Linked DNA regions of Macaca mulatta. The protein of the gene in region 1 interacts with the protein of each later gene in a pairwise test. Links are inferred from orthologs where the notes say so. Each region holds a gene or a part of one and is shown in the gene's direction. Other genes may lie near its edges.

Region 1 (4,097 bases):
AACTCCCGACCTCAGGTGGTCTGCCCGCCTTGGCCTCCCAAAGTGCTGGGATTACATGTGTGAGCCATCGTGCCCGGCTGGAAAGTTTTATTAGAAAGAAAGAACGCTGCAGAGGAGTGCAGAGGGATGCCTCAGCAAGAAAGAACTGACCATGCTGGTGGATTTTCCTTAGGGGGTATTTATGGACCTTAAAGAGGAAGCTTGAGGGCAATTTGGACCACACTAGCCACGTAGGTCATGATAAATGATTACATTCATAGTAATTCTGGTGCCTTAATGTCAGCAAGGGTTGCAAAGTGAGTTTTGGCATGGCATTCCCGAGTGTATAGAAATTCTAGTTGCTTATACATTTTAAGTTTAAAAGAGTCCTGGAACCAGATGCTAACATTAGATACTAGGGTAGTTTAATTACTTTTAAAGTCCTCAGGTAAGGAGTTTTAGTCTCCAGGACCTGTTCAAAGGTCGCCAGGTGATTTTTGCTCTCCTCATGATACAATAAGATGCTGGCTTATTTGACTGGTCACAGATGATGCATCGAATGTTCTGGGTCTGTTAAGCCTCACAATAGCTCAGGTTTTATCTTAATTGTACAGATAATAATAGCACATGCTGACTAGGTGCCAGGCATTGTTTTAAGCATTTTGCTAACTTAGTCCTCACAGCAATCCTAAAAGGTAGGTGCTACATATTACAATACCTGCTGTACTGGGGAGGAGACAAAGCATAAGAAACTTGATTAAGTTCACAAGCAGTGGCGCGATCCTGGCTCACTGCCACCTCCAACTCCTGGGCTCAAGCGATCCTCCCGCCTTGGCCTCCCAAAGTGCTGGGATTACAGGCGTGAGCTACCGCGCCCAGCTCAGGGTCTACACTCTTAACTGTACTGCCTTTCAACAGCATGTGAGGAACAGAGAGAGGAGAGAGAGACTCCCATTACCAATCAGGAGCTCCAGGTGTATTTCAAACCCTAGGATTATCACCGTGTGCAGCAGATGGCGCCCTGGAGCGTAGCAATAGGCCGGACCTGTACACGGAGTTAAAACTACCATACCCACAATGCTATGGGGTATCAAAGTCCAACCCTACTGGTTAGCTGTCCGAGGTAGTGCCTGTGCGCGCTCCTGTGGGAAATTGTGTACTGAGGCCATTCGGGACCTTCCTTTATCTGCATAAGACAAGTTAAAAAGTGTTTTATCCTCCTCTTATCCTCCTTGTTTTACTAGTTGGCGAGCAATAGGGCTGAAACAAGGCTGCTGTTTGTTGGCCTCACCTGCGCTAGCCTAACGTGAGGACCCTTGACCTCTGGGCCAAGATGGTGGCGCCCAGAGCTTCGCTCTTGCTGCTGCCCTGAGGTGAACTGAAGCCAGCAGCCCCGCATCATGTCGAAGCTCGGCCGGACCACCCGGGGCCTCAGGAAGCCCGAGGTCGGCGGTGTGATCCGGACCATCGTGCGGGCAGGCCTGGCCATGCCCGGGCCCCCACTAGGCCCAGTGCTGGGTCAGGTGCGGCCGTGTTGGGAACCCGACGTGGGGGTTGTCGAGGGTGGTGGAAGCTAGGACGCGGATGGACGGCGCTGGCTCTGGAACTACCGGGGCCTGGGTTCAGAGCTCGGCTCTGCTTCTCACACGCTTTACGTCCTTGTGCTGGTTACAAAGGCTCTTCCGCCTGGGCTTCCTCATCCCTTCCCAATGTGCTGTGATGAGGATAACGTGGGAAGATGCGTACAGATCTTCTGGCTCACGAAGGGGTAGTTGAATCTGGGTAGAGATAGGAACACAGAGAAGTGAAGACGAAGGAGGGAATGGACGGCGCCTCCTGGGCGGTAGGAAGCCGTCCCCTCCTCCCACCACTAACCCCCTCTGCTTCCCTCACAGAGAGGTGTTTCCATCAACCAATTTTGCAAGGAGTTCAATGAGAGGACAAAGGACATCAAAGAAGGCATTCCTCTGCCTACCAAGATTTTTGTGAAGGTGGAGTCTGGACCGATCCCTGGTTTCTTTCTCCCTCTGTTCTTCCTCATCCCTGGGGCTGGTCATCTGGGGTTTTCTCAGCTCCTGACTTGACTTCCTATTACTGGGCTCCACTTTCCCCATTTAGGACTAGACCATATTTTTTCTGAACCAGCCCCATCTTGCCATGTTGCAGTTCCTCCTTTGCCCCTCCATTTCACTGGGCCTTCCAGAGCAGAATTAGGGCAGGAATAGAGAGGACAGGGTTGTTTGTTGCAGATTTATTTTTTCTTTCTTTTTTTTTTTTTTTTTGAAATGGAGTTTTGCCCTTGTCGCCCAGGCTGGAGTGCAATGGCACTATCTCGGCTCACTGCAACCTCCTTCTCCCGGGTTCAAGCAATTCTCCTGCCTCAGCTTCCTGAGTAGCTGGGATTACAGGCGCCTGCCACCATGTCTGCTAATTTTTTGTATTTTTAGTAGAGATGGGGTTTCACCATGTTGGTCAGGCTGGTCTTGAACTCCTGTCCTCAGGTGATCCACCCACCTTTTCCTCCCAAAGTGCTGGGATTACAGGCATGAGCCACTGCGCCTGGCCCAGATTTATTTTTTTCTTGTGATTCTGTGGTCTTTTTGAGGGATGCCATAGGAAAGTGAGATGAAGGAAGCAGGGACAGGACATTAGAAGTTCCCTGGGATGGGGCAGCAGGAAGAGAGAATCTCATATTTCTTTTTTCTGTTAAGCCTGACAGGACATTTGAAATCAAGATTGGACAGCCCACTGTTTCCTACTTCTTGAAGGCAGCAGCTGGAATTGAAAAGGGGGCCCGGCAAACAGGTGAGGGTCAGGGTAGGCGTCTGAGATTCTGGGGACTCCAGAATCTCAGTAACACCTGAAGAACCACTTGTTCCTTCCTTCTAGGGAAAGAGGTGGCAGGCCTGGTGACCTTGAAGCATGTGTATGAGATTGCCTGCATCAAAGCTCAGGATGAGGCATTCGCCCTGCAGGACGTACCCCTGTCCTCTGTTGTCCGCTCCATCATCGGATCTGCCCGTTCTCTGGGCATTCGTGTGGTGAAGGAGTAAGTGTCCTGGCAGGTGCAGTGTGACGAGAGGGCCCAGAAAGCTCTGGACTCGGGCAGAGCTGAGAGGGCCCATTGCAGTGGGAAAGTCAGTTTTTAAGTCAAGGGACCCTAGATTCTAGAGGATAGGGTGGGTGTGGGAGACCACATTCATTGATTTGGAATACTCTTATTGGGCACCTGTTATGTATTAGATGTTGTTCTGCAAATGTTCTAAGAAATGGAAAGCTCTCCATGAAGGATCCAAGTGGGAGAAGTTCAGTGTCACCCGGGTCTGTCGTCCTAGACCTAGGCGAGTGGAGAATGGTTTGAGGGAAGGACCAGTGGGGAAAGATTTTTGAGCTGTGTCAGGTTCATGCTTGCTCCTGAGGCAAACAGGAGACCCCCGTTATGGGGCTTCAGATGACTTCAGGAATTGTTTCATTGAAGTAAGATGTTGGGTGGGAGAGTGTCTGGCCTAGACAATGGCTGGAACAGAGATAGCACTCAACCTTTTACTGGCTTCTTGCTGCTGTGTCACATCCCATGTCAAGGCTGACAATTGATTATTTCCCGAGAAGAGTGGGATTAAGCATGGAGCAGACACAGACTTGACTTTTCTTAAATCTTTTCTTTTATTGGGAACATGGAGATGGGTAAATCTGACCCCAGCCCTGGGACAGACATACATGCTCAGCCCCGTGACTTCATTGTACAGCATATTTTGGGGCACAGAGTACCCCAGTTAATCTGGACTGGGGTCTGGCTGACACCTCAAAGGATGAGTAGGGATTTAATAAGGGAACAAAAGATAGGGGTTTTGGGGGTTGGGAGATGGTGTCCCTGGAAAGCAAAGGTATAGAGGCTGGGAAGTCAGGGAGGGAGAAAGGGCCAGGCAAGCTGGGCTCTGAGACAGAGGCCCCTTTGAGCCCCTGCAAGACATGGGGTCCTGTGAGCTCCCACTGGTGACTCATCATGCGCCAACCATCTGTCTGTCTTCACTTGCAGCCTCAGTTCAGAAGAACTTGCAGCTTTCCAGAAGGAACGAGCCATCTTCCTGGCTGCTCAGAAGGAGGCAGATTTGGCCGCC
Region 2 (3,944 bases), on another chromosome or scaffold:
CTATGTTAATATTTGCCTCTAACAATTTGCAGCTGTTTCACTTTTTCCTCATTTGTCTCTAAGTTGAAGGCCTTGTTGGAGGGGACAGAGCACAGGAACAGCCTTGACAGTCTGTAATTATTGTACAAATATTTTAATAGCATATAAATAAGTATATTCCTTTTATTTTGAAACAAAAATGATCAGACACTGCCTTTTGTGTGTTTGCTGCCTGTGGCACCCTTTTTGAAAAAGACTGTTACATATTAAAATAGTGTACATACATATAAATATTACCTCTTTTGCTGTACAGTTGTGATAGAGACTGAAGATTTTATTTTTTGTGTGCTTTTTATAAGAAAAAATTAATACACTAAAGAATCTTGCTGATGTGATTGTAATGTACCTATGTAACTTATTTACTTTTGAATGTTCTTCTGTATCTTTAAACCTTTTATTAAATAAGGTTTTAAAAATTCAGAGTTGAATGCTATGTTCTCTCGGGATTTTCACCATCTGGGGTTGATGTAAGTGGGCCTTGTCTTGCTTGCAGGGAGATTACTCGACATTTTTGAGCCATAAGGATTCTCTTTTAGCAGCCTATTGTCGATGCCAGCCAGGAAAAGGAAAATAACACTAATGTTTGCCTGGCTAAAAGATGACTCAGTAGACACAGACAAACAGATGTTTACAAAAGTTTAGACAAGAAAAAGTCTAAACTCAGTATCTCACACAAAAAATGGCGCACTCCGGCTTCATTGGGATAAAATACGCAGGGTGCACAGTGTGGTCAGGGGTAACGGGAAGCCAGGGTTCTGAGGAGAGTATTTTCACGTGCAGGGTGGACTGGCTGGGCAACCCGAGTAGACAAGTCCACCATGAGGGATGCCATGACTTCCAATAGTATCATCTTAAATCCACTCCAGGATTGGGTTATTATTTTTAAAACACGGTGCTTAGCAGTATTTGTTTGCTGTTAAAATGGAAAATTATGAAAAAGGAAATGCGCCATCAGAGAAACAAATGCCCGAGCCCCTCGCTGGCACCATGGCAACCGCTCGACCCCCGCGGGCCGCCGGAGCAGGCGTGATTCGCGCCAGCTGGGGCGCCGTTGCCATGGCGACGCCCGAGCGGCTCCGCCACAGGGGCGGGACGGGGCGGGGCTGACGCCGCTCGCGGGCTGGCCCCATCCTCCACTGCAGCAGTAACGTCGCAGCGGGTTGCGGGTAGGACTCGACGCTGGGGCAGCCGCGCAGCGCCTGAGCCGCTGCAGGCCGCCGCGGCCGCCGCTGCCCACCCTTGCCTGTGCTGTTTCCAGCCTCGCTTCTCCGGCTTTCCTGCTCCTCTGCTGCCTTCGTTTCTGGTCCTCGGCCGTCCTCGCCGCCCGCCCAGAGGAGTCCCCGCGCCCGCCAAGAGGAGTCCCCACGCCCTCCAAGAAGCCGCTCTCCGCTGGCCCGCAGCCGCCGCGACTTCGGCACAGTCTCTCCCTCTGGCTAGTCTCCCAAACGGCCGCTCCTCGCCCGCGGGAAGACCAGGCTGCGACCGCGAACGCCCGATCCTCTCCAGGAGCCGCAGCGAGCGCCCGGCGGGCACGCCCCGCGACCACACCCCGGCTGCTTTCGACCCAGCGCGCCTGCCTTCGCCGCCCGCCCTCGCTCCTTGCCCGCTGCACGACGACGCGACAGCCCGGCTGCAAGCGGCAGACCCGACCGGACCCGGACCCAGACGCAAGATGGCGACGGCCGCGTGACTTCCTCAGCGTCCCCGAGCTCAGCTCCAAGTGTACCTACGGACTGACTGGGGGGGCAGAGAAGGGCGAGATCAGGACTCTGTGTCTTTGTTAGTCGTGAATGCATGAAGCCTACCTCCCTTGGGCCTACTTGGTGGGAGTGTCTGGTATTGTTCTAAGGCCAGGAGTACGGTGAGCCACAGTCTGTTGGTAGAATTGGCGTCTTGATAGTTGAGAAAATGGCGATGACACTGTTGGAAGACTGGTGCCGGGGGATGGATGTGAACTCCCAGAGAGCTCTGTTGGTCTGGGGCATCCCAGTGAACTGTGATGAGGCTGAAATCGAAGAGACCCTCCAGGCAGCGATGCCCCAGGTCCCCTACCGAATGCTTGGGAGAATGTTCTGGAGGGAAGAAAATGCGAAAGCAGCCTTATTAGAGCTCACTGGCGCTGTCGATTACGCCGCGATCCCCAGGGAGATGCCGGGCAAAGGAGGGGTCTGGAAAGTGTTGTTTAAGCCCCCAACTTCTGATGCTGAATTTTTAGAAAGATTGCACCTCTTCCTAGCTAGAGAGGGGTGGACCGTGCAAGATGTTGCCCGTGTCCTTGGGTTTCAGAACCCTACTCCGACCCCGGGCCCAGAGATGCCAGCAGAGATGCTAAACTATATTTTGGATAATGTTATTCAGCCTCTTGTTGAGTCCATATGGTACAAGAGGCTGACACTTTTCTCGGGGAGGGACATCCCAGGGCCTGGAGAGGAAACCTTTGATCCCTGGCTGGAGCACACTAATGAGGTCCTAGAGGAGTGGCAGGTGTCCGATGTAGAAAAGAGGCGGCGGTTGATGGAGAGCCTTAGAGGCCCTGCCGCTGATGTCATTCGCATCCTCAAGTCCAACAACCCCGCGATAACCACTGCCGAATGCCTGAAGGCGCTTGAGCAGGTGTTTGGGAGCGTTGAGAGCTCTAGGGATGCCCAGATCAAATTTCTGAACACTTATCAGAACCCGGGAGAAAAATTGTCTGCTTATGTCATTCGTCTGGAGCCTCTGCTACAGAAGGTGGTAGAGAAGGGGGCCATTGATAAAGATAACGTGAACCAGGCCCGCCTAGAGCAGGTCATTGCTGGGGCCAACCACAGCGGGGCCATCCGAAGGCAGCTGTGGCTTACCGGGGCTGGGGAAGGGCCGGCCCCAAACCTCTTTCAGTTGCTGGTGCAGATCCGTGAGGAGGAAGCCAAGGAGGAGGAGGAGGAGGCTGAGGCCACCCTTCTGCAGTTAGGCCTGGAAGGGCACTTCTGAGTGCCAGAAAAGACAGCTTTAGTGCAGACCTAGATCACAGCTAGTTTTCTTGTCCCTGTGGGGGTCTTACAGATGTGTCTCTGAGTAGTAAAGGCTTAGCCCTGTTCCGTTTTGTTGTTTTTTTGGAGGGGAAGGTTAGTCAGGCCTGAGTATTCATGTAACATTCTAAAATTGTGCAAGCGAGCACCGTGAGCTGCTACAATGCAAGTGGGTCTTGCTGGCTAAAGTGCCAGGTAAAGGGTTGGTTGGACACAGCGCTTAGTGCACGCTGTCATCATGGACATCATAATCAGTTGTGAAAAACACACGAACCTCTGACACTTCCTATTCCACACTGAATGTGAAATTGCATGTGCAGATGTTTACTACGGGGCCTGGCTCACAGGAAGTGTTCAGTAAAAGTATGAACTATTAGATTACTGATAGCGCAGATAGATTTTTCTTTACCATAAATAGTTCCAGATTTATATTGATGGAAGGAAATGTGCATTTATTAGCTATTACTCAACTTTACAATGCAAACATCATATTTCTCATCTTTAAACATGTCGATCAGTTTAATTGAAAAGTATTCTGAGACTGCAAAATGGGGTGTTAAAAAAATACTGCAATTACGGAGCTGTGTAAACCAGTTTCTCATTGCATAAGATACAGATGTAAATTGCATGGAGAGGTTGATATGCACCTGTACAGTAATTCACTTCCCCATTTCAGATCTTTGTCAGAGAATAGTTCTTGTTCATACTGAGTGTTCTAAATTTGAAGTTATATATACAAATTAAAATATTTTAAAAATTCTGTTGTCTTCTCATTTTTCTGGCATGTATAAACATTTTTAGCCTAAGTAAACTCTGTCCTTTTTTCTTATGAAGACTTTGTCATTAAACCATTTATTTTACTCTTAAGCTTTGTATGATACTATGTGAATTTAAATG
Region 3 (4,094 bases), on another chromosome or scaffold:
CCTGCTTCAGCCTCCTGAGTAGCTGGGACTACAAGTGCACGCCACCAAGTCCAGCTAATTTTTAAATTTTTCTGCAGAGACAGGGACTCGCTATGTTGCCTCGCTGGTCTTGGATCCTGGCCTCAAGCAATCCTCCCTCTTTGACCTCCCAAAGCATTGGGATTAGGTTTGTGAGCCACCGCTCCCAGCCCGTTTATCTTTTAGGGAATATAGTGACTCAGGCAAGAGACATGGTTGACTGTGTGCCCTATCCTCTTTTGTCTTCAAAGGGTCTTCCCAGAGACTTCAGAGTCAGAGGCTTTGTGAAATTATGTTGCCAAGCAGAATTGAGCAAGTCTGGCTTCTTACATTTGTTACTTTGTCTCACAGAAGATGGGGAATCCTAAAATACAAATTTTGGCCTATAACTTCATACTGTGTGGGATACTGCTTTGGTGAAGTCCGTTTTATTGTCATCCCTTTCTTTTTGTAAGTTAAAAAAAATTTTTTTTGAGGCAAGGTCTCACTATGTTGCCCAGACTGGCCTCGAACTCTTGGAATCAAGTTATTCTCCCACCTCAGTCTTCATCCCTTTCTAGCTAGTGAAAAACAAATACTATGCAGAACTCCGGGTCCTCTTTTCTAGGGCAAGGAGGGGAGCCGGAGGGTCTGGTAGGTCCCAGTGAGGTGACTGCTCCAGCACTTCATCTTTGGGAACATCGGTCTGGTGCCAGTTTGACCCAGGGAACGGCCTAAGTCGCCCGCAGGCTCCTAAGGTCCTCGTCTTTCCGGGTGGCAAGACATCTGATCCATCTCGAGAACAAGTTCCCGGTTGCTTTAGGCGCTTTGTTACTGCTGACGCTGCTGGTGGCGGTTGGGCTCTCGGCTGGGAAAGGCGCAGCTCGTGTGTATGGCTCGGGAGGGGGCACTGAAAAGGTCTTCCTGGAGGGCTTCCTTCAGAAGGAAACAAATTGGGAGTTGTTGGCGGTCCAGACAGTTCGGCAAAGTGCAGTGTCCCTCCTTGGGGAATTTCGGAAGGATCCTGGCCCGGGGTACTCCAAAGGTCCAGCGCCCATAGGTCGAGGGTAGGGGGAGGTACCAGGCACCGCAGCTTGGCCCCAGGGGACATCTTCCCTGCCCCACGCATCCAATAGATGACCCCAGCTGAGGCCCACGCAGCCAATAGCCGACTTCAGCCGAGACCCAAGCAGCCAATGGCCAGCCCAGTGCACTTCGCCCGTGCCCGCCCGCCTGCGCCCACCAATCAGGACTCGGGCCACCTTGGCACCGCCTCTGGACGCCCACCCCACCCATCCGCCCCGCCTCCAACTTGCTCGAGCAGGGCTGGGTAGACCGGCGCACTCCCGGGGGCGGTGTGGGGGGGCAGTCCCGGTTTCGGCCATCGCTCGGGTGGGCTCGGAGCGGCCGCACCGGGCAGCAACCCCACTCCCACTCGGAGGCCCCCTGCCCTCTCCCCCACTTCCCCCCGGCCCATGGTGCGAGGCTGGGAGCCGCCGCCCGGGCTGGACCGCGGTGAGTGATCCCCAGCCCCTTGGACTTCCCCTCCCAGCTCGTGTACGGTCTCCCACCTCTGGAGTCCCATCCCCGCGCTGGTGGGGGGAGAATTCTAGGTTCGAAGTGGCTCGGTTCTCTCTTTTTTCTCCTCTGGACTTTTCGGTTCCCTGTTGTAACTAGGGGAGGGTAAGTGTCTGTGTAGGGGAGGGCAAGAAGGTTGGGTTGGGGCGCCCTTGGCGAGAGTAGGATTGAGATTCGCCTGCCTCATGGGGCTCATCGTCCCAAGTGCAACAACTTTTTGTTCCCTGACCCAGTTCGGAGCCTTCTGGACTGCCTGTGAAATGGAGGATAGGAGAAACATTTCCTTCCCAGGCCCCCCCCGACGCCACACAAACCCCCAACCCCCATGGCTACCTCCTGGCGACCTCAACACACGTGCAGAACCTGGCCTTGCTTCTGGGGGATCAGCGGCCTTTGGGAATGAAAGGTTTAGAAGAAACTGCCCCTCTGATTCCCGTACCCAGCCATACTCAGAAAACCAACCAGGAAACTGAGAACCCGAGTCCTCTGGGGTTCCTAGTGTTGCGTCCTATTCTGAGACTCCTAAAGTGAAAGAAGACTCAAGCTGAGACCTGTTTGGTAATGTGGGCCCAGATCAGGAGATTTTTTTTTTTTTTGTCATGTGAGCCTCTTTCCCATCATACACTTGAAGCCCTTTTATATTACATGATTAGGTTAGATGGTTGTAATTGAAAAAACCAGATTGGGAATTTTAAAGATAATGCATACATATCTTGAACATTATAATTAAAAGTATGTCCATTTCACCAATCTTTTGATGTAGTGGTGAGACTGTTCTTGTGTCTAAGACTGCTGTTCGGAGTTCCCAATTCTCTTTCCAGTGTTAACTACACAGGGAGTCTCAAACCTGGCTGTACCCTGAGAACTTTTTAAAAAACTGTGGATGCCTGGACCCCAGTACAGACTATTGAATCTGAATGGGGAGGAGAGTGGCCTGGTTTTTAAGCTTCCCAGGTAATTCTACAGTGCAGTCTGAGATGAGAGCCACTCAGGCACTTTCATCATCTTTGATTTCCCGTTTTGCTTTATTTAAAGTGAAGTTAAGAATTCAGACGCTTTTGAGTGCAGAGTACTTTTGAGATTAAGTCCCACCCCTCAATCTTTTACAGTTGTCTTGCTCACTCCCAACTCAACAATTTTTAAAATGCATACTCTTCTTTGCGTTATGTCTCTCCAAAACATTTGACTTAGTTTTCATAGGACCAATTTTTTAAAAATCAGTATTCCTGAAGGAACAGTTTTCAATGCAGTGATTTTTCATAGGTTTACATGAGGTTTAATTACATTATTATACAGACACTGAAAAAGTGTGGACATAAGCAGGTTTGTAATCACACAAAACTGGCCCCAGCACACAGGACAACTGAATGAAGCAGATGATTTTGGCGCACTAGTAGTAGCCTACTGGCCTTTAGTTTCCAGTGCACCATGGTATTGGTCATGTAATCCAGTGGGTCAGTTAAGCCAGGCTCCTGGCCCAGGTGAGCATCCTTCCCTTCCACTCTTTCCAACTAATATCACAATTACCTTGTCCCTTCTAAACGCACTTGAATTCCTGAGTATTCCATCAACTCTTTACATTCGTTCACATCAAACTGTTCATCTTTAAGTGATTACCACTATTGCCTTTGTTAAGTTGGAAGGATATAAGGCAGTAATCCTTAACCTGGCTTCTTGGCAGTCACTAAAGGCCCTGAGTTTACTGTGTAAGTGTGAATGTTTATTTCGGGAAGGTTGGTCATAACTTTCTGAGGGTCTGTAACTTTTGTCTGATTCTCAGAGGTTCATGAACTAAAAAGTTAAGAAGCATATAAGCTGAATATCACTATACATCTTTAAGGCCCTTAAAACTGTATCCCCAAACACATTTCAGGAGTACTTCAGACTGCCTCTAAATAAAGATTTAGGGAACTCTGCAGGATCATATCTCATTTCCCACTTTATTTATTTTTATTTTTTATTTTTTGAGACAGAGTCTCACTCTGTCCCCCAGGCTGGAGTACAGTGGTGTGATCATGGCTCACTGCAACCTCTGCCTCCCAGGTTCAAGCGATTCTCCTGCCTCAGCTTTCCCAGTAGCTGGGACTACATGCGCATGCCACCATGCCTGGCTAATTTTTGTATTTTTAATAGAGACGGGTTTCACCGTGTTGACCAGGCTGGTCTCGAACTCCTGACCTCAAGTGATCCTCCCGCCTCGGCCTCCCAAAGTGCTGGGATTATAGGCGTGAGTCACTATACCCAGCCTCGCCTCCCACTTTAACTGTCTCCTAATTTAACGATAGGCCTAGGTTCAAACCTAAAGTTCTAGAGTCCTCTTTTTCCTAGGACTGTGTAAACACAGAAACTGGAAGTTTAAGACAGTCCATTCTTGTTTGCCATCTGTCCAGGGATATGGAAAGCCCAAGGGGAAAGAAGGGTGTTATACTGACTCAGAGAGAGAGTGAGAATTTTTTTTTTTTTTGAGACAGAGTCTCACTGTCGCCAGGCTGGAGTGCAGTGACACAATCTTGGCTCAC
Region 4 (4,101 bases), on another chromosome or scaffold:
TGCTTAAGGAGAAAGTGATCTACTTTCAGCTGTAGTTTTTTATCCAGGTAATAATATTATTATTATTTTTTTTTAAGTGAAAGCCTCGCTGCACAAAATTAAGACACACGCAAAAGTAAACTTAAGGCAAGTGATGCATTTCAGCCTTATTTCTTAGACTACTCAGAAAACTTTCAGAGTTAAAACATTCAGCTTCATTTTATATATCCTAGCAATACTAGCAATTGATCTAATTCTAGAATCAATTGCTTTTCTATTCTAAATATAAATATTAAAATTATATATTTGGACATGTTTTGAATTGAAGCTTCTTCCCCTCCCAACCCCTCATTTTTAAGTTCCAAATAAATACGTGAACTACACTAATGTGAACAGCTAGCTCAACAGTATGAACTACATTCATGCTATAGTACCCCAGAGTGAACTTAAATTTGGGAAAACTATAACTTTTCTGATAGTAACTACAGTAAAATACATCATATAAATGTTCGATTTTAAGGAGAAACCACCTATCTCTGTGAGAAACCGAGTGGGTAAAAAACAAGTCTGATTCAAAATGATACCATTTTTCACCTCATATCCTAAGGTGAAAATGATAAAGTTGAAGATCAAACGCTGACTGGCCTGAAACTCCCCTGTGGCTTCCTCATAAAGTGAAATCAACACATGAGAAGTGGGTGTGTAGATATTTACACATAAAACCCACAGTACAAAAATGACCCCACTAACGAGCTCCTTTTATAAAATCATTTTAATTTAGAAAGCTTATTCTATATTTAGCTTAGGCTGAATTCTTCTCTTCACCTCCCCTTCCTCAAAAGAATGCACAGAAAAAAACCATTCAGGTTAATAACAGCAGTGAGCCGAGACTCCAGCCTGACTCTCCTTAGTAAACTGTGAGTGTGGATTTAGAAGCCATATTTTCTCCTAAACCCTTCTATGAACTTGTACTTCCCCATCCCCTTAGGTTCAGTAGGTTTACCACTCAAATAATTACTCTCTCTCAAACTACCTCTTTCAAGCTTAAAAGGGCACTAATGCGGTTATTCCAAACTGATGAATAAAGTTCACTTTCTGCTGGCTTTCCATTTGACTAAGTATATATTACTTAAAACAAAACACTCTATCTCCTAAAAGCCATTTCTTCTATCCCATTCGCGACGTTCCCTCATACACAGACTTAGAATTGCTTACATTTAGTCCGTGTTATTCTTTCCTACATGGATGGGTTGTTTTCAGTTTTGCTTGCATATTTCTGGCATTTCCCGTTGCAACATCCTGCTCTGCCAGCATCTTCAGGGCAAAGGTTGGGGGCCTAGCCCAGCTCCCAGCTGCAAGTACACTAGGCTCTAACTTCGCTTGTCCTCTCTGCAGGCCCTCCCGGAGCTACCGCCGGTTTCCCGCAGCGGTCCCGCGCAGGTGAGGGCACCGGGGAGCCCACGGCCTTCTCCGCCCGCCGGCTCCTCCCCGTCAGCCGTCAGCCAGGGCTCTCGGCGCCGGGGGAGCCTCCCACAGGGTCCCAGGCCATGGAAGCGGGGACGAACGCCGGCGGCCCGGCCTCTCTTACCTGGCGCAGCCGCGCGTCCACCTCGACCCACCGCGCGCGCAAGGCCCGCTCCCGGAACTCGCACGGGCTCTCGCAGTCGGCCGCGCCGCCCTCAGCCGGGAAGAGCGCGTCGCGCACTGTGGCGCCGCCGCAGCCGTCGGCCGCCGCGCCCAGGTAGCGCTCCAGCTGCCCGCACAGCTCCTGCAGCGCCGCCTCGCCGGGGTCCGCGCGCGCCGGCCACAGCAAAGCCCACAGCCCGAGCCCCAGACCCCAGGCCCCGCCGCCGCCGCCCACATCCAACTCCGGCGGCAGCCGCGGGAAGCAGCGCTCCAGAGGCGGCCACAGCGCCGCCAGCTGCCGGTGCGCGCCGCGGAGCCCTGCGGCCGAGAGCAGGCCTGCCCAGCTGGGCGGGGACACGGCTGCCTCGGGCTTGGGCTCGGGCTCGGGCCCCAGCCGGGCCCCCTCGCGCCGCCGTCGCTGCTGCGCGGTGCGGTCGTGACAAGTCACAGCGAACTTGCCCTCCGCTTCGTTCCAAGCCACCAGGAAGCGCAGCCGGTGCCTCTCGGGCTCGGCGAAGAGGCCCTCCCGGACAGGCACCCAGCCCTCTAAGCTGTCGGGCTGCTCGTCTTCCATGGCAGTCGGCAGCAGCGGTCCTAGGGCTCGGCGGGCGAGGGCCTGGCCTGCTCGCACCGCCTGTCACGGGACAGTCCGAACCCGAGCATTTTTCACTGGAATCGAAACCGCGTCAGTGACCCAGCAGCGCCCTGGCCCCCGGCACCTCTAATTGGCTGACCCGGAGGTGGGGCTTACAAGAGGTGTTCGGGGTTGGTTGGGTGATAGACGACAGGGCCAGCGACAACCAATGAAAAGGTGAGACGGTGTCCCTCAGGAGTCAATCATCTCGCAACCCATTCAGGAGTCTGGGAAATACAGCTCTTGCCTCACCTTTTCCACCCAATACATAAGGACGTTGGAAAAATATCTGTTGAATCGGCGACTTGTTGTCTTAGTCTCCCACACTAAACTGTGAACTTCTTGAGAACAGGGACCAAGCTGATTTCCTTTTCTATCATCAGGGCCCTATTGAGTACATGGTTCCCGCCCTCAAGAATGTCACAAATGTGCTGGGGAGATGAAACATAAACTCGATAGTCATTTATTGAGGGCCTCTAAGTGCCAAGTACTGGGCAAGAAGCCACAAATTTATTTTTGTCAATTCAACAAACTTTTATTGAGTGTCGGCTGTGTGTCGGTATTGAGGGGGTGGAGTAAGAGGAGGAATTCAGGGCACTGCAGCTCCCAACCAGGGTGTTTAAATACAATCTGTGTTCTAACTCTTCACTTTAGAGTTAAGGAAACAGAGGCCCAGACAAACTTAAGATACACCGACACTCGGGCTCGACATGACCACCTGGCTACTGAAGGCCTGTTTAAGGAGATACCAGGAAATCCAGTTTACATGTCAGGGTGGAGCTAGATCTGTTCTTGCATCAAGGACCAAGACGGCCCTACTCTCTGCCTAGGAAATGTGCAGTGTAGACTGAGAAATACAGTCCATGTCCGCTCCCATCCTGGGAGTGCACTGAGACAGGTGGTGGTAATGGGGGGAGGAAAGGAGGCAGATGCCAGGAAGCTGGGATCAGGAGCCCTTTGCCAAAGCAAGGCCTGTGAGGTGTTGATTCGGGAACAAGTGAAAGCGTGTGTGAAGGTTTTGAGCTGGGAAAAACTGGAATCAGATTTTGTACTTGCTGTTGTCCCCAAGGGTAAACAATAAGCAAACAAAAAAATCAGGGCCAAGCTAAAGCTCTAGTTAGGACATCTCTCTGCCTTGAAAATGACCTCAAGAAATCTAGGAACCTCTGTGGAATGCAGCTTGAAGGTGGAAAGGTGCCTTTGTCTGAAGGTCCTTCCCCTTTTATGCCTGCTGCAAGTGTGAGGGTTGGGGATTGGGCCCTGGGACACAGTCACTCAGTCTTCTTGGAGAGATAACCTTTTAGCTGAAGTGATTGATTTTCCCCTACTTTTAATATACTGTTTTAACTAATATGATTTACTTATGATTTTTAACAGTCTGTTTTAAATATCTTTCTTGTATATTCCTCACATTGTATCTTTTTACTATCTGTTTTATACTGTGTTATCATTTCTATTAGTTTTCTAATCTATTTGGTTTTTCAAGAGGAAATTGTCAGTCTTTCTCATTATAAAGTGTCGTGGGTGGCTGGGTGCAGTGGCTCACACCTGTAATCCCAGCACTTTTAGAGGCCGAGGTGGGTGGATCACTTGAAGTCAGGAGTTTGAGACCAGCCTGGCCAACATGGCCAAACCCCGTCTCTACTTAAAATACAAAAAAAAAAAAAAAAAAATGTTAGCCAGGTATGGTGGTGCATGCACTATAATCCCAACTACTCAGGAGGCTGAGGCATGAGAATTGCTTGAATCCAGGAGGCAGAGGTTACAGTGAGCTGAGATTGCACCACAGCATTCCAGCCTGGGTGAAACAGTGAGACTCTGTCTCAAAAAAAAAAAGAAAGAAAGAAAGAAAGAAAGAAAGA
Region 5 (3,504 bases), on another chromosome or scaffold:
TAACATGCTTAGTTTTTGAACTTCAACCTCACAGTGACTAAAATCATAGTCTCTATATAGGTAAGAATGCAGGAAGACTCTATATAAACAAGAGTTCAGGGAGGCCAAAGAATGTCGCCCTAAATGACAGATATGTTTTATCTTTAGAGTTTCCCTTCCATGCCTCTTTAGAATTCTTTGAAGCATGCATTGACTGACACATTGTCAGAGTTCTGGAGCATAGGAGGAGAAGCATTAACCTTCCAGAGACTGCTCTAGAATAGACCATAACACGTCTCTCTGAAGTTTTCCTACAATCCAGTTTTCTCTGTTTTAACAACTACAGCTTAATATCATTGTGGATCAGCCACATTTAATTTATTGTTTTCTATATGACTTAAATAATGTTAATACTGTAATCTCTCCAGGTGTCATTCTCTATATTCTACTTGTGGGGTATCCACCCTTCTGGGATGAAGACCAACACAGACTCTATCAGCAGATCAAGGCTGGAGCTTATGATGTATGTAATAACTATTTATATCACTTTAGATGAAGGTTTGTTTTTTGCTTGCTGATCAAGAGCCAGATCTTTTCATTTTTCTTTTAACTATAATTTTTACCACTTTCTCTTATTATTTCCCTCTCTCTTAAGGAAAGGGAAAAAGAAATGCAGCATATGTGTTCAGCTTATGTTTCCTTTTAACTCACTCTCTCCTAAGATAAAAAGAAAAGTCATGTGAAGTCTCTGAGGAAGAACTTTGTCAAAATGTTTGGATCTTAGTGCATTTTAAAAACATAAAAATTAAAATATTTCTGCTACAAAAATGATTATTGCCCATTCAGTTGAATTATATTCTCAAATACCTATCACATAATTTTACATTATATACCAACAATATTTTGCAGTGATCACATATCAAATAGAACATTATTCCACTATACCAGTTTCTGGGTTTTGTTTTTTGTTTTTGTATTGTTTACCTAATGGGATGCTATGCAAGCTTTCATTTGAAGAATGAGTTTCACAATTGAAAAATTTGAAAATCATAATTCTAATATATTTAATTTTTAATTAGAATATTTGAAAGTATATATATATACATATTCATAAATTAAGTTCAGAATCTGAAGAGGAAGTCTTTATCTACTTTCTCTTTATGGCTTAACTTTGTGTTTATGATATAATTTGCTCTCCTTTGATATGTATTCTTGTAAATATGATTTACCACTTTCTCTGGTTTCCTCTCATACAGCCCTAGGGAAATCCATGTGCAGGATCTGGGCATGCTTTCCATGTGTCATTAAGTGGAGTAACTATGGAGTAGCAATATTGGGTTCACCTTTTGTGCACAAGTTGAAAGCTTTATGTGAAAGTGAGAGGAGAAAATATAAAATGTCTGTATTGTATTCTATCATGTCTCATGAACTCTTCAGTGCATTTCTGATAAAATTTTCTATTTAGATGGATGTGTGTTTCAGTTAGCAAGAATTTAAAATGTATATTCTTTGAATTTCGAAGCATTCCATTATCCCTAGACTAGTAATTGAAACAAATTATTATTTACATGGCAACAGCTAGCACATTCACCATCTTTACAGACTAGAACCAGCCCCTTTCTGGGCAGACGTAGCCCTGAAAATGCACTGCTTGGTATACCGGAGGAGTGCTTTCATGAAAATTAGAAAACTGAGGAAAAGGTTCACCTTTCTTCATGCCGAACCTACCCCTCATTTGCTATCAAAAGACCTGTACAACATTTAAGAAATAGCCTTGCATGTTTCTTTAGTAGCTCCTAACAGTTAGCAAGCTTTCACAACTGCCAAACATAAGCTTCAGGAATTAAAAAATGACAATTGTTAAGCTGGCAAGAAATTACAGGTATTAGAGTCAATATCATTTTTCTCGTGCTTTATTTTGCCAATGAGTCACAAGTTCCCCATTTTAAAACTACCAAAAATAGACTAATTCCATTGACACAGTGACAATGGCTTTATTTTTCAAGATTGTCTACACAAATTCATGAATTGGGAAAATAACTTGATATTCTATCATTTTGCAACTAATGTAGTATAAATTTCCCTTAATCATTGAAGGACAGTATTTCTACTAAACATGCTAATGATATAAAAGTAATTTATTATCAGTACAAAAAAATAACATGAAGAGAGGAGAAGTAGCTTTCTTATATAGTCTTATTGTAAAAAAATATTAATAATGGGAAGTTATAAGATTTGATTACTTTCATATACTTTGGTGAAATTTGTAATTGGGCAGATTAAACTTCTTGAAGGGTTAAAATGAAATCTTGCTGAAGCTCCTATAGCCTCAGATTCTTCTCACTACAGCACTCCAAGTAGCCATGATTAATAGGTCAGTTTTGGCACAGGAATTGAAGCTGTTTTATTACCTCTGCTATTACTGCTTATAAGTTGTGAAAGTATATAATACCTCATTTTGAACCTTGGCATAATATTACGATGGCATTGGTACATGTAGCAACCTCTTTGCTTTTATTAAGTTTTGCAAATAATTATGAGAAAGATGTATAAAATTTCATGTTCAGATCAAAGCAGAGATACTTTGAGAATAGAAGATTCTTAAGTTCTTTTTTTCTGAATTTTAAAATGTATTTACCATATGTGATATGCAGCTCAGTATATATGTTGGTCCCTTATCAGATACTCTTTAATATATATAGTTGTCTACATAGAGGGGGAGAATAGATCTAAATGATTTTATTTATTTTAGATACAATTTAACTTATATAAAAAGTAAATTTATGAAGAAATTCACTACTTGAGGAAATGATTCATATAGTTGACTCTTCCCTGTTTGATTGAGTGTGTCTATTTTTTAAACTTTTTATAAATTTATATTTTTGAAGTTTCCATCACCGGAATGGGACACGGTAACTCCTGAAGCCAAAGACCTCATCAATAAAATGCTTACTATCAACCCTGCCAAACGTATCACAGCCTCAGAGGCACTGAAGCACCCATGGATCTGTGTAAGTAAAACTTCTCAAAAACTTCAAGAGCTAAAATGAAAAATAAGCTGTCCTTTAATATATTGTTTATGGATTTAAAATAACTTTGCAAAAAAAAGATGAAATTCAGAATGAATGAATTTTTGACTCAAGGTGTTTAAGAAAATGAATTTTATGATGGCGAAGAAATGCAATTTTCAGTAGCAAAGTCTGAATTGCATAGATTATTAAACAAATATTGCTTGCAGTAACAAAAGGAATGAGTATTCTTCGTATCAATTATTGACAATACTCGTGAACAAGGTCAAGAAAATAACACCAAAATTAAATGTATCCCAGAAGAAAAGATTTAACAAAGTTCAATTATTTGTCATTAGGCAACTTTAGAAGCAAGTATGAAGTTTGGCAGCTGAGAGTAGAGTTTTAGTGGCATAAAAGAATGGTCATAGTAGTCTGAATATTTTTTAGAAATATTAAGAAAAATAGTGTGAAATTTGAGGGGAATCTGAAGACTTCAGTAAATTTCTGAATGTGT
Region 6 (4,226 bases), on another chromosome or scaffold:
TGCTGTGCTACAAGGGTTTGTGATAAAGGATTAATTACTATATTATGTAAGAATCGATATCTTTATTTATTTATGAGACAGAGTCTTACTCTTGTCGCCCAGGCTGGAGTGCAGTGGTGCAAGCACGGCTCACTGCAACCTCCGCCTTCCCAGATTCAAGCGATTCTCCTGCCTCAGCCTCCAGAGTAGCTGAGATTCGAGGCATGTGCCAACCACACCCGGTTAATTTTTGTATTTTTAGTAGAGACGGGTTTCACCATGTTAGCCAGGCTAGTCTTAAACTCCTGACCTCAAGTGATCCGCCCGCCTCAGCCTTCCAAAGTGCTCGGATTACAGGCGTGAGGCACTGTGCCCAGTCCATTATTATCTTTAAAGCAAAATTAGGAATGCTTCTGTTCTCAAAATATCGAGATATCTGGACACTTCGAAGTCTGGGTCTGTTTAGTAAACATTATCAATCTGTTGCCTTAATGGTATACATCTAGAGGCTAGGAACACCTAACTTTCCGGGAATGCAGCCCAGCAAGTCCCAGCCTCATTTTCCTAGCCCTCACTCAACACAGAGTCGCTCTATTTCGAACCCCTCTGACATATTCTCTCTCAGATGTGAAAACTGCTGCAGCAGCTCCCTATTTGCAACACCGCACATGGAAATCACAGCAATGGACAGCCCTTCACAAAAGCTTCTGGGGAGGGAGGGCCTGGTGGCTCAACTCCCGTAATCCCAACCCACTGGGAGGTCGAGATAGGTGGATCCCTTCAGCTCGAGTTCTAGACTGGCCTGGGCAACGTGGGGAGATCCTGCCTCTATTTTTTTAAAAAATTACATATATATATATACACACACACGTATATATGCATACATATATACATATATATAATGCTTCTGCGTTGGCAATTCAGATGATTTGGCGAGTGTGTCTTTTTTCATTGCTAAAAACCTGTCACGTTGGCTCTCAGAGACTTGTGATGCCTGAAGACACAGGTAATGGGAAAAAGATCAGCATTCTGGGAAAAGGTTCCACAATTTTATTAATCATACACCATCTGTGTCCGCCCTTTTAGAGAAATGGGCGCAATCAGACAACGACCTCGGCTTTACACCTGTTCTCCATGAGGCCCTAGTTGTTTCCTACTGTAAGCCGCCCCAGAAAAGCTCCGCATCAATTAACCCACGGGAACAGCCCGGGCTGGATGATGCCCCTGGAATCCAGCCTCCCGCCGCGCCTCCTCCCCCGCAAGCTGTTCCTTCCTGCCTACCGGAAGTTCAGGGCTCCGCCCACTTCCGCAACTCTGAAGCCACCGCCGGAAACACCTGGCCTCAGCCAATAGTTAGCTTCCCAGGAATCGTTACCTCTGACCTCGGGGCTAATCAGAGACAGTGGGACGCACCCCTCGCGAGAGGTGAGGTTGAAGCTGCCTCCGCCATCTTGGAGATGGGAGACGGGCGATGGCTGTGGTCCTTCTGCTAATGCAAACAACAAAACGGGCACACTAGTCACCCCAGAGGGAGGCCACCATTACTGTAACTGTTGGCCAAAGCTACAAAAGAGCGAGGGTGTCCAACCGAGCGCGGCGACACTGAAAGCAGCTTCCCCTGCCTTCTGCGGCGGCAGAAGTGAAGTGCCTGAAGACCGGAAGGATGGTGCAGTCCTGCTCCGCCTACGGCTGCAAGAACCGCTACGACAAGGACAAGCCCGTTTCTTTCCACAAGTGAGGACCCTGCGCGCCTCGCGGGGCCGGTCTTAGCCAGGGTGGGGGCGCGCGACCGGCGGGGCCGGGGGCGGAGCCAGGCGCGTGTCCGCGCGAGGGGCGGGTGGGGTCTGGGGCCGGCCGCGCGAGGCGTTTCCCGCCGCGTCCTGCTGGGAACCGTCGCCCGATCGCGCGTTCTCGGCGCGCGTCTCCGCGGCGGTTGTTTCTTGCGCTCTCGGAACAGGTCCTCGTTGCAGGCTTCGCTCCAGGCCTCGGTTGACGAGTTTGGAGCCCGCGGGCGATGCCTATGGTGGCGCGGGTTTTGCCGCCACCAGGGTCACGAGCAGCCAGGTGTTGTAATAACGTCTTAGGGGTAAATTTGAAATATAAACAAAGGCCTTTCCCTTGTCGTGGATGGGAGGCCAGCATCGTAGCAATTAAGGGTTTTTTGGCTGGGAAATCCCGGAGAATTTTTGCCCCAAATCTCTAGGAACTAAGCTTTAAGGACCCTGAGTTTTGAAGAAAGCTTCAGGTACTGCCAAGATAAATCGTTATCTTTTCAGCACACAATAATGATAATATGGATAGTTACAACATGGATCATAATAAAATGACTCACACTGATCTTTATTTATTACGGCATTACCTGTGCATAGAGGAAGCTCTTTCGAAAGAAACTGCCCCACAGCTTTCAGAGCTGTCTTATCCAATAGGTAGCACAGTTAAGAGTGCTAGGATCAAAAATATTCTCTTGAAAATAGGAAAAAAAGTGCAAAGTTGCAATTACTTATGATAATCAAACGCTTGTAAAATGTGACATAACATTCAGCTGAATTTGTTTACAAATTTTAATTACATTTATGTTAAGTTTTCTTTGTAAGAATTCCTGACAACTATATGCAGATGATAGCTAAGAAATCAGATCCAGGGGTAAACTATACAAATTAGTCATAGGTAATTAGCTAATTATCTTTTATAATTAGGTAATTACAAAAGCAAAATGTTAAATATCCTTTCAATTTTTTTATTTTGGTGTGGAGCCATCTATGTTTACTAGGGGAGTGTCCATGCATTTTTTAAGTGTTTGATATCATGTGAGATGGACCCTATAGAAATAAGAGAGTGTAGAACATAGGTCTCCAGAGTAATGATGTTACCCCTTGGCGAAGGGGGTAGAACACTTACAGGATTCAGTTCAGGATATCCTAATATTGTCTCTTAATTTAATTGGAATTTCTGTAAACATGTTCTTTCGAAATGTAGGAAAAGGTCAGGTGATGGTAACAGGATTACATGTGCAGCTCCCCACCCACATTTCTGATGGCATGGCAGAAGGAATCTAAAATTATGGAAAATGTTTCACTGGCACTGGAAACAAGTTTAAGGAGGGTATTCACACGTCAGAAATAACTGTGTTTTTGGCCAGGCACAGTGGCTCATGCCTGTAATTCTCAGCACTTAGGGAGGCCTAGGTGGGCAGATCACCTGACGTCAGGATTCAAGACCAGCCTGGCCAACATGGCAAAATCCCGTCTCTACTAAAAATACAAAATACAGGCGTACGCCTGTAATCCTAGCTACCTGGGAGGCTGAGGTAGGGGAATCGCTTGAACCTGGGATATGGAGGTTGCAGTGAGCTGAGATCTTGCCCTGCACTCCAGCTTGGGTAACAGAGCCAGACTCCATGTCAAAAAAAAAAAAAAAAGAGAGAAATAACTGTTTCTGCTAGGTGTTAAACACATACGGATTGAATCAAAAGAAGAGCTAACCTGCATCTTATCCCTTATCTAAAAGAGCAGGTTTAGGGAGAGTAGATGGGAAAGATTTTAACAGAATCTCACAAACAGCTGTAAATTTGTGGTCCTTGTGCCAGGAGGCCCTAGGTACTGACTGAATTTTAGCAGCAAATGCTACCATAGTTTATGCTTACAGAGCCAGGAGGCCATAGGTACGGAATTTTACCAGCAAATGCCACCCTAGTTTATACGTATAGAGGCCATTTCCAGCTGAGATTTTCTTCTTCTCTTTTTGAGATGGAGTCTTGCTCTGTCACCAGGCTGGAGTGCAGTGGCACGATCTCGACTCACTGCAACCTCTGCCTCCCCGGTTCAAGCGATTCGCCTCAGCCTTCTGAGTAGCTGGGACTACAGGCGCGCAACACCACGCCCAGCTAATTTTTTTTTTTTTTTTTTTTTTTTTGAGACGGAGTCTGGCTCTGTCGCCTGGGCTAGAGTGCAGTGGCCGGATCTCAGCTCACTGCAAGCTCCGCCCCCCGGGTTTACGCCATTCTCCTGCCTCAGCCTCCCGAGTAGCTGGGACTACAGGCGCCCGCCGCCTCGCCCGGCTAGTTTTTTGTATTTTTTAGTAGAGACGGGGTTTCACCGTGTTCGCCAGGATGGTCTCGATCTCCTGACCTCGTGATCCGCCCGTCTCGGCCTCCCAAAGTGCTGGGATTACAGTTGTGATTACAGGCCACGCCCAGCCCCAGCTGAGATTTTCTAGGAGTACCACTTATCCCACCGTCTGCATAGTGG
Region 7 (4,001 bases), on another chromosome or scaffold:
CTTATAAAGTTCACTGCTATGTTTACATTTCTTAAGGGACACAGTTATTTCTACTACCAGAAGGCTGCTACCAGTAACGCGAGTGATAACTTAAGTTGATTATTCACACCGTTTTCTTCATCCATAAAATAAGGAGACTGGGACTAAATGACCTGTTAAGGTTCTTCTGAAATTCTATGATCAAGTATACTACCCAGCACAAGATCAAGTTAAAAAATGTCAATACATAGGAAAGAAATCAGTCTGTAAATACTGAGAACCTGTATTATCAAAGCTAATGTCTTCTGAAATAACTGGAAGTAAAGATGAAAGTATATGAAAGATAATTTTGAATGTTCTGTATTTAGAATGTGCTTCAACATTTAACGCGATCTAATTTACGTACCTTTCAGGTGCTATTGCAAGTTTTATCAGGGTTTTATGGCAACAGACGAATATGATGAATTCGAATGGGACACACTGGCTTCTGTGAAGTTAGGATTCAAACTGAATGTCTAATATAGGAAGGCAATACATACAAAAGGCAAAAGTGATTTTAGAAATAACAGAACGCGGGACAAAATTCACACACGGAAAATGATATGGCTAACAAAAGCCGGTAACTCACAAAAATGCGGGTAGAAAAGAGGCCTCTCTGCTGGAGCGAGAACAAATAGAATCAGACGGCATTAGAACTGAAAGGCTCCTAGGAGCTTTCAGTGAACAAAACTTCGTAGTCAAAAAAGCACAGGACTGGGCCAGGAGTTGAGAGACAATCCTGGAGTTTAGGTGTTTGCAGCCCTAGCCGTGTGGTAACTCCCTTGCTTCTCTGGCTATTTCCTTATCTATAAAATCGGTGGGTTAGTTTAGGCCGACTGAGACGCAGGCAGGGACACGGTACTGTTCATGGACCTCTGAGCTGCCCTTTCCACATCGCGGTTGAGTTACTTAAATCTCTGGTGTGTTTCCCCATTTCGTATGTCAAAATAATAACATACAATCAGAATGTAAATCCAGACGCATTGTTTTTCTGCGATTAACTTGCTGAGCGAAAATGGCAAAGACGAACGAAGGAGAGAACCATTCGGCCTGCGAGAGGAGGCACGCCTGGGTCCAGCTTCGCGTCCCGCGGCGCAGTAGGCTGGGGGCGTGTCGTCGCGGAGCGGCGGGGCGAACCCTCCAGGAGGCGGAAGAGACCGCCCCGTGGGCGGAAGTGACGCAAGGCCTACTGTCGGCTGTGAGGGTAGGTGTAGCCGGTCTTTGGGGGTAGGCGGTGGTGGCGGAAGAGGTTCAGCGGCTGATGGCGGATCAGGATCGGAAGCCTGTGTAACTTTCTCCCTTGGTCCGGGAGTCTTTCCACTGGGTAAGGCGCCTCCCCGGTCCACCCCAGCACCTTGTGCGGGTCGGACCCCAGCTGCATCTCTTTTAGGGCTCGTGCTACACCCCTCTGCCCCTGTACTGTAGGGGCCTGGCCGGTCTCGGGAGAGGTCTCAGTGGTGACGAGGCTTTCCTTCCCGAGAACAAACCTTCCCTTCCGGACTGCGATTGTGACGGGGGTGTGGGCGACTCGGATCAGCCGTAGAGTTTTGGAATAGCAACGGGTGGCCGCCCCACGCGGAGGGAGGCCCGCGGGACAGGTCTTCGCGATTTGGGGGAGGCGTGTGGGACGGGTGCCCTTTGGCTGGGGACGAGTGACGCTGGCGACCCCCGAAGGAAAAGCTTCTGGTGTCCAAGGCTCAACTCTGGGATGACTGTTTTGAGGTCCCTGTGGGTGTTACCGGCGCAGTAAGCTGAGAAAACACGTAGGTCGCGTCCGAGAAGGACGCTGGGGTTTGCCTCTGCGGAGAGAAACCCAGCTGTTTTGGTTTGAGTCGCCGGTGGCGAAGGGGGCGGAGACTCCCTGCGCCGCCTACTTTTGAGGGCCGCGGGCGGAGTTGGCTGTTCCGGCTGATCTCCTGCTTCACCTGGAATCCTTTCCCCACCCCGCCCCAACACACCCCGCAGGTTCGCGAGGTGTGAACTAGTCCCGACCGACCTGCATTCCTCGCTTAGAGAATCTGTGGCTAGAGTTTAGTGTGCGCGTGTACACCTTATTAGTAAAAAATAGAGCTTAGCATGCGTTTGTGTGGGTGTGTGTACACACCTTATTGGTAAAAGTTTTGTTGGACAACACTGGCATATGACTTTAGACGTACAGTGTTAGATTTCCGATTTCACACAGTGGTTATGAATTGCTATTATGTCAGGCTTTAGATGGGAAAATCTTAATTGTTCAACTGTCTGCATTCTGCTGATGTTAAAATTTCTACGTGCTGTGCACGAACAATTACTAGTTACAAGTTTGGTGCTTAATTCCAAAAGGATTTAAAGAGATCATTTGAATAGAAACTAAAAGTGGGTTGATTGTCCTCAGTGCTTTTCGGGTTTAGAGAAGGAGCTGAGGACAGCCTTTCTCCTTCGTTCTGTTCTTTTCAAGGGTAAACTTGAAGTATTGTTTGATGATGCCGACTTCTAATAAAGTTTTATTTATTTTTCAAGCTGTTCAACTTCAAAGAACATCTTACTGTATTTTTTGTTTTATAGCCATCACGTTCTTTTTTTTTTTTTTTCCTTGAGACGGAGTCTTGCTCTGTCTCCCAGGCTGGAGTGCAGTGGCACGATCTCGGCTCACTGCAACCTCCGCCTCCCAGGTTCAAGCGATTCTCCTGCCTCAGCCTCCTGGGTAGCTGCGATTACAGGCGCGCGCCACCACGCCCGGCTAATTTTTGTATTTTTAGTAGAGACGGGGTTTCTCCATGTTGGTTAGGCTAGGGTCGAACTCCTGACCTCCTGATCTGCCCGCCTCGGCCTCCCAAAGTGCTGGGATTACAGGCGTGAGCCACTGCGACTGGCGCATCAAGTTCTTAAATTGTAGACCGCTGTTTGTAGTTCTCACTGCAGCGATGTTTGTAGAATTAACCAGTAAATATCTTTTCCATAACAAAAGTAAAATTTTGGAATTCAGAGTTTCAACCTTTTTAATGATGTTGAAATAATTATGGAAGATCCTAACGATGCTCCTTGTATACTTCTTTTGGGGACTTTATTGTATTCTTTTGGAATGGATATGTAAAATCTGGGCTTTATGCATTTCTGTCTTTTTAAAGCTTATTTTGTCCCAAATAAACCTTCAGAAGAAGATAAAAATGTCCTCTCCCCTAATATATGTGGGCCAAGATCATAGCATTTTAGAAACCAACTTATAAAATCTAAGAAGTAAGTAAAAGTGGTGCGGGTGACACCTGAGCGGAATGTCTTGGCACTCAGGTGTAAAGGATTCTGGAACTAGGGATGCCTGCAATGGTGCAAGTTAATAGACTGGGGCCTTTGCTTTTGCCTCCTAGAAAAATTGCTGATTACATTTTTTTGGAAGCAGAGGTCTGTTGATAGTTGTTAAGTTTTTCTTTCTTTGAGCCACAGTGTGAATAATTGGAAACTGTTTGAATGTTGGACATTTTTTGCTTTCATATGTTTGCGTGTCCTGTCGGACTGAAGTTTGGAGATAATTCTAAAGGTTTTTTAGCTGAGGATGTGAAAAACTTTCGGTAACTCTGTCAACCATTACCTGAATTATAACACTTCTAAAGATACAAACTGTTCATATTCTAAAATGCAGTGTTTCTGCTGCAGTAGGTCTTATGTGGAGTGTTACTAATCTGTTTCATTTCTTTATTTGCTTTGGTTTTCCTATTACGGAAATTTTCAAACATACACAAAGGAGAATGAACAGTAAAATGAACTGACACTTTACTAATCTTGTTTTATTACCCCTCTAACATTTATTTTTTTCCCCTGGAGTTTTTAAAGCAAATCTTAGACATCAAGACGTTTCATTTACAGTTAGTTTAGCATCTTTAACTGATAAGGACTTTAGAAAAACACAGAATTGCCATAATTATATTATCACACATAACAAAATTATTTTTGAATTCTAATTGTTAGGACTGGCAAATTATATTTAATATTTATCTAAATTAAAAAGC

What was found.
Region 2: the proteins of MRPL11 (region 1) and PNMA1 interact in binary tests that used the Homo sapiens proteins (3 or more experiments, as listed by UniProt). The two-hybrid records come from large-scale screens. The link is inferred for Macaca mulatta from reciprocal best matches to the Homo sapiens genes MRPL11 and PNMA1.
Region 3: the proteins of MRPL11 (region 1) and HOMEZ interact in binary tests that used the Homo sapiens proteins (3 or more experiments, as listed by UniProt). The two-hybrid records come from large-scale screens. The link is inferred for Macaca mulatta from reciprocal best matches to the Homo sapiens genes MRPL11 and HOMEZ.
Region 4: the proteins of MRPL11 (region 1) and FSD2 interact in binary tests that used the Homo sapiens proteins (3 or more experiments, as listed by UniProt). The two-hybrid records come from large-scale screens. The link is inferred for Macaca mulatta from reciprocal best matches to the Homo sapiens genes MRPL11 and FSD2.
Region 5: the proteins of MRPL11 (region 1) and CAMK2D interact in binary tests that used the Homo sapiens proteins (3 or more experiments, as listed by UniProt). The two-hybrid records come from large-scale screens. The link is inferred for Macaca mulatta from reciprocal best matches to the Homo sapiens genes MRPL11 and CAMK2D.
Region 6: the proteins of MRPL11 (region 1) and THAP1 interact in binary tests that used the Homo sapiens proteins (3 or more experiments, as listed by UniProt). The two-hybrid records come from large-scale screens. The link is inferred for Macaca mulatta from reciprocal best matches to the Homo sapiens genes MRPL11 and THAP1.
Region 7: the proteins of MRPL11 (region 1) and TAX1BP1 interact in binary tests that used the Homo sapiens proteins (3 or more experiments, as listed by UniProt). The two-hybrid records come from large-scale screens. The link is inferred for Macaca mulatta from reciprocal best matches to the Homo sapiens genes MRPL11 and TAX1BP1.

The regions. Positions count from the first base shown.
Region 1 is NC_133419.1:7,982,750-7,986,846, forward strand, and holds the start of MRPL11 (large ribosomal subunit protein uL11m), read left to right. Parts: upstream 1-1,294; 5' UTR 1,295-1,379; coding exon 1,380-1,502; intron 1,503-1,874; coding exon 1,875-1,970; intron 1,971-2,690; coding exon 2,691-2,784; intron 2,785-2,868; coding exon 2,869-3,028; intron 3,029-3,222; coding exon of another isoform or gene 3,223-3,340; exon of another isoform or gene 3,341-3,355; intron 3,356-4,015; coding exon 4,016-4,097.
Region 2 is NC_133412.1:146,883,643-146,887,586, reverse strand, and holds PNMA1 (paraneoplastic antigen Ma1), read left to right. Parts: upstream 1-1,144; 5' UTR 1,145-1,947; coding exon 1,948-3,009; 3' UTR 3,010-3,815; downstream 3,816-3,944.
Region 3 is NC_133412.1:96,383,177-96,387,270, reverse strand, and holds the start of HOMEZ (homeobox and leucine zipper protein Homez), read left to right. Parts: upstream 1-1,291; 5' UTR 1,292-1,472; coding exon 1,473-1,512; exon of another isoform or gene 1,513-1,680; intron 1,681-1,808; exon of another isoform or gene 1,809-3,618; intron 3,619-4,094. UniProt on the Homo sapiens protein: May function as a transcriptional regulator.
Region 4 is NC_133412.1:73,933,472-73,937,572, forward strand, and holds the start of FSD2 (fibronectin type III and SPRY domain-containing protein 2), read left to right. Parts: upstream 1-1,297; 5' UTR 1,298-1,567; coding exon of another isoform or gene 1,568-2,179; 5' UTR 2,180-2,416; intron 2,417-2,748; exon of another isoform or gene 2,749-4,057; intron 4,058-4,101. Other genes in the region: WHAMM (WASP homolog-associated protein with actin, membranes and microtubules), read right to left, coding at 1,568-2,179.
Region 5 is NC_133410.1:122,779,525-122,783,028, reverse strand, and holds part of CAMK2D (calcium/calmodulin-dependent protein kinase type II subunit delta), read left to right. Parts: intron 1-407; coding exon 408-502; intron 503-2,867; coding exon 2,868-2,990; intron 2,991-3,504. UniProt on the Homo sapiens protein: Calcium/calmodulin-dependent protein kinase involved in the regulation of Ca(2+) homeostatis and excitation-contraction coupling (ECC) in heart by targeting ion channels, transporters and accessory proteins involved in Ca(2+) influx into the myocyte, Ca(2+) release from the sarcoplasmic reticulum (SR), SR Ca(2+) uptake and Na(+) and K(+) channel transport.
Region 6 is NC_133413.1:44,941,709-44,945,934, reverse strand, and holds the start of THAP1 (THAP domain-containing protein 1), read left to right. Parts: upstream 1-1,422; 5' UTR 1,423-1,642; coding exon 1,643-1,713; intron 1,714-1,839; exon of another isoform or gene 1,840-1,993; coding exon of another isoform or gene 1,994-2,043; intron 2,044-4,226. UniProt on the Homo sapiens protein: DNA-binding transcription regulator that regulates endothelial cell proliferation and G1/S cell-cycle progression.
Region 7 is NC_133408.1:100,601,374-100,605,374, reverse strand, and holds the start of TAX1BP1 (tax1-binding protein 1), read left to right. Parts: upstream 1-1,197; 5' UTR 1,198-1,342; intron 1,343-4,001.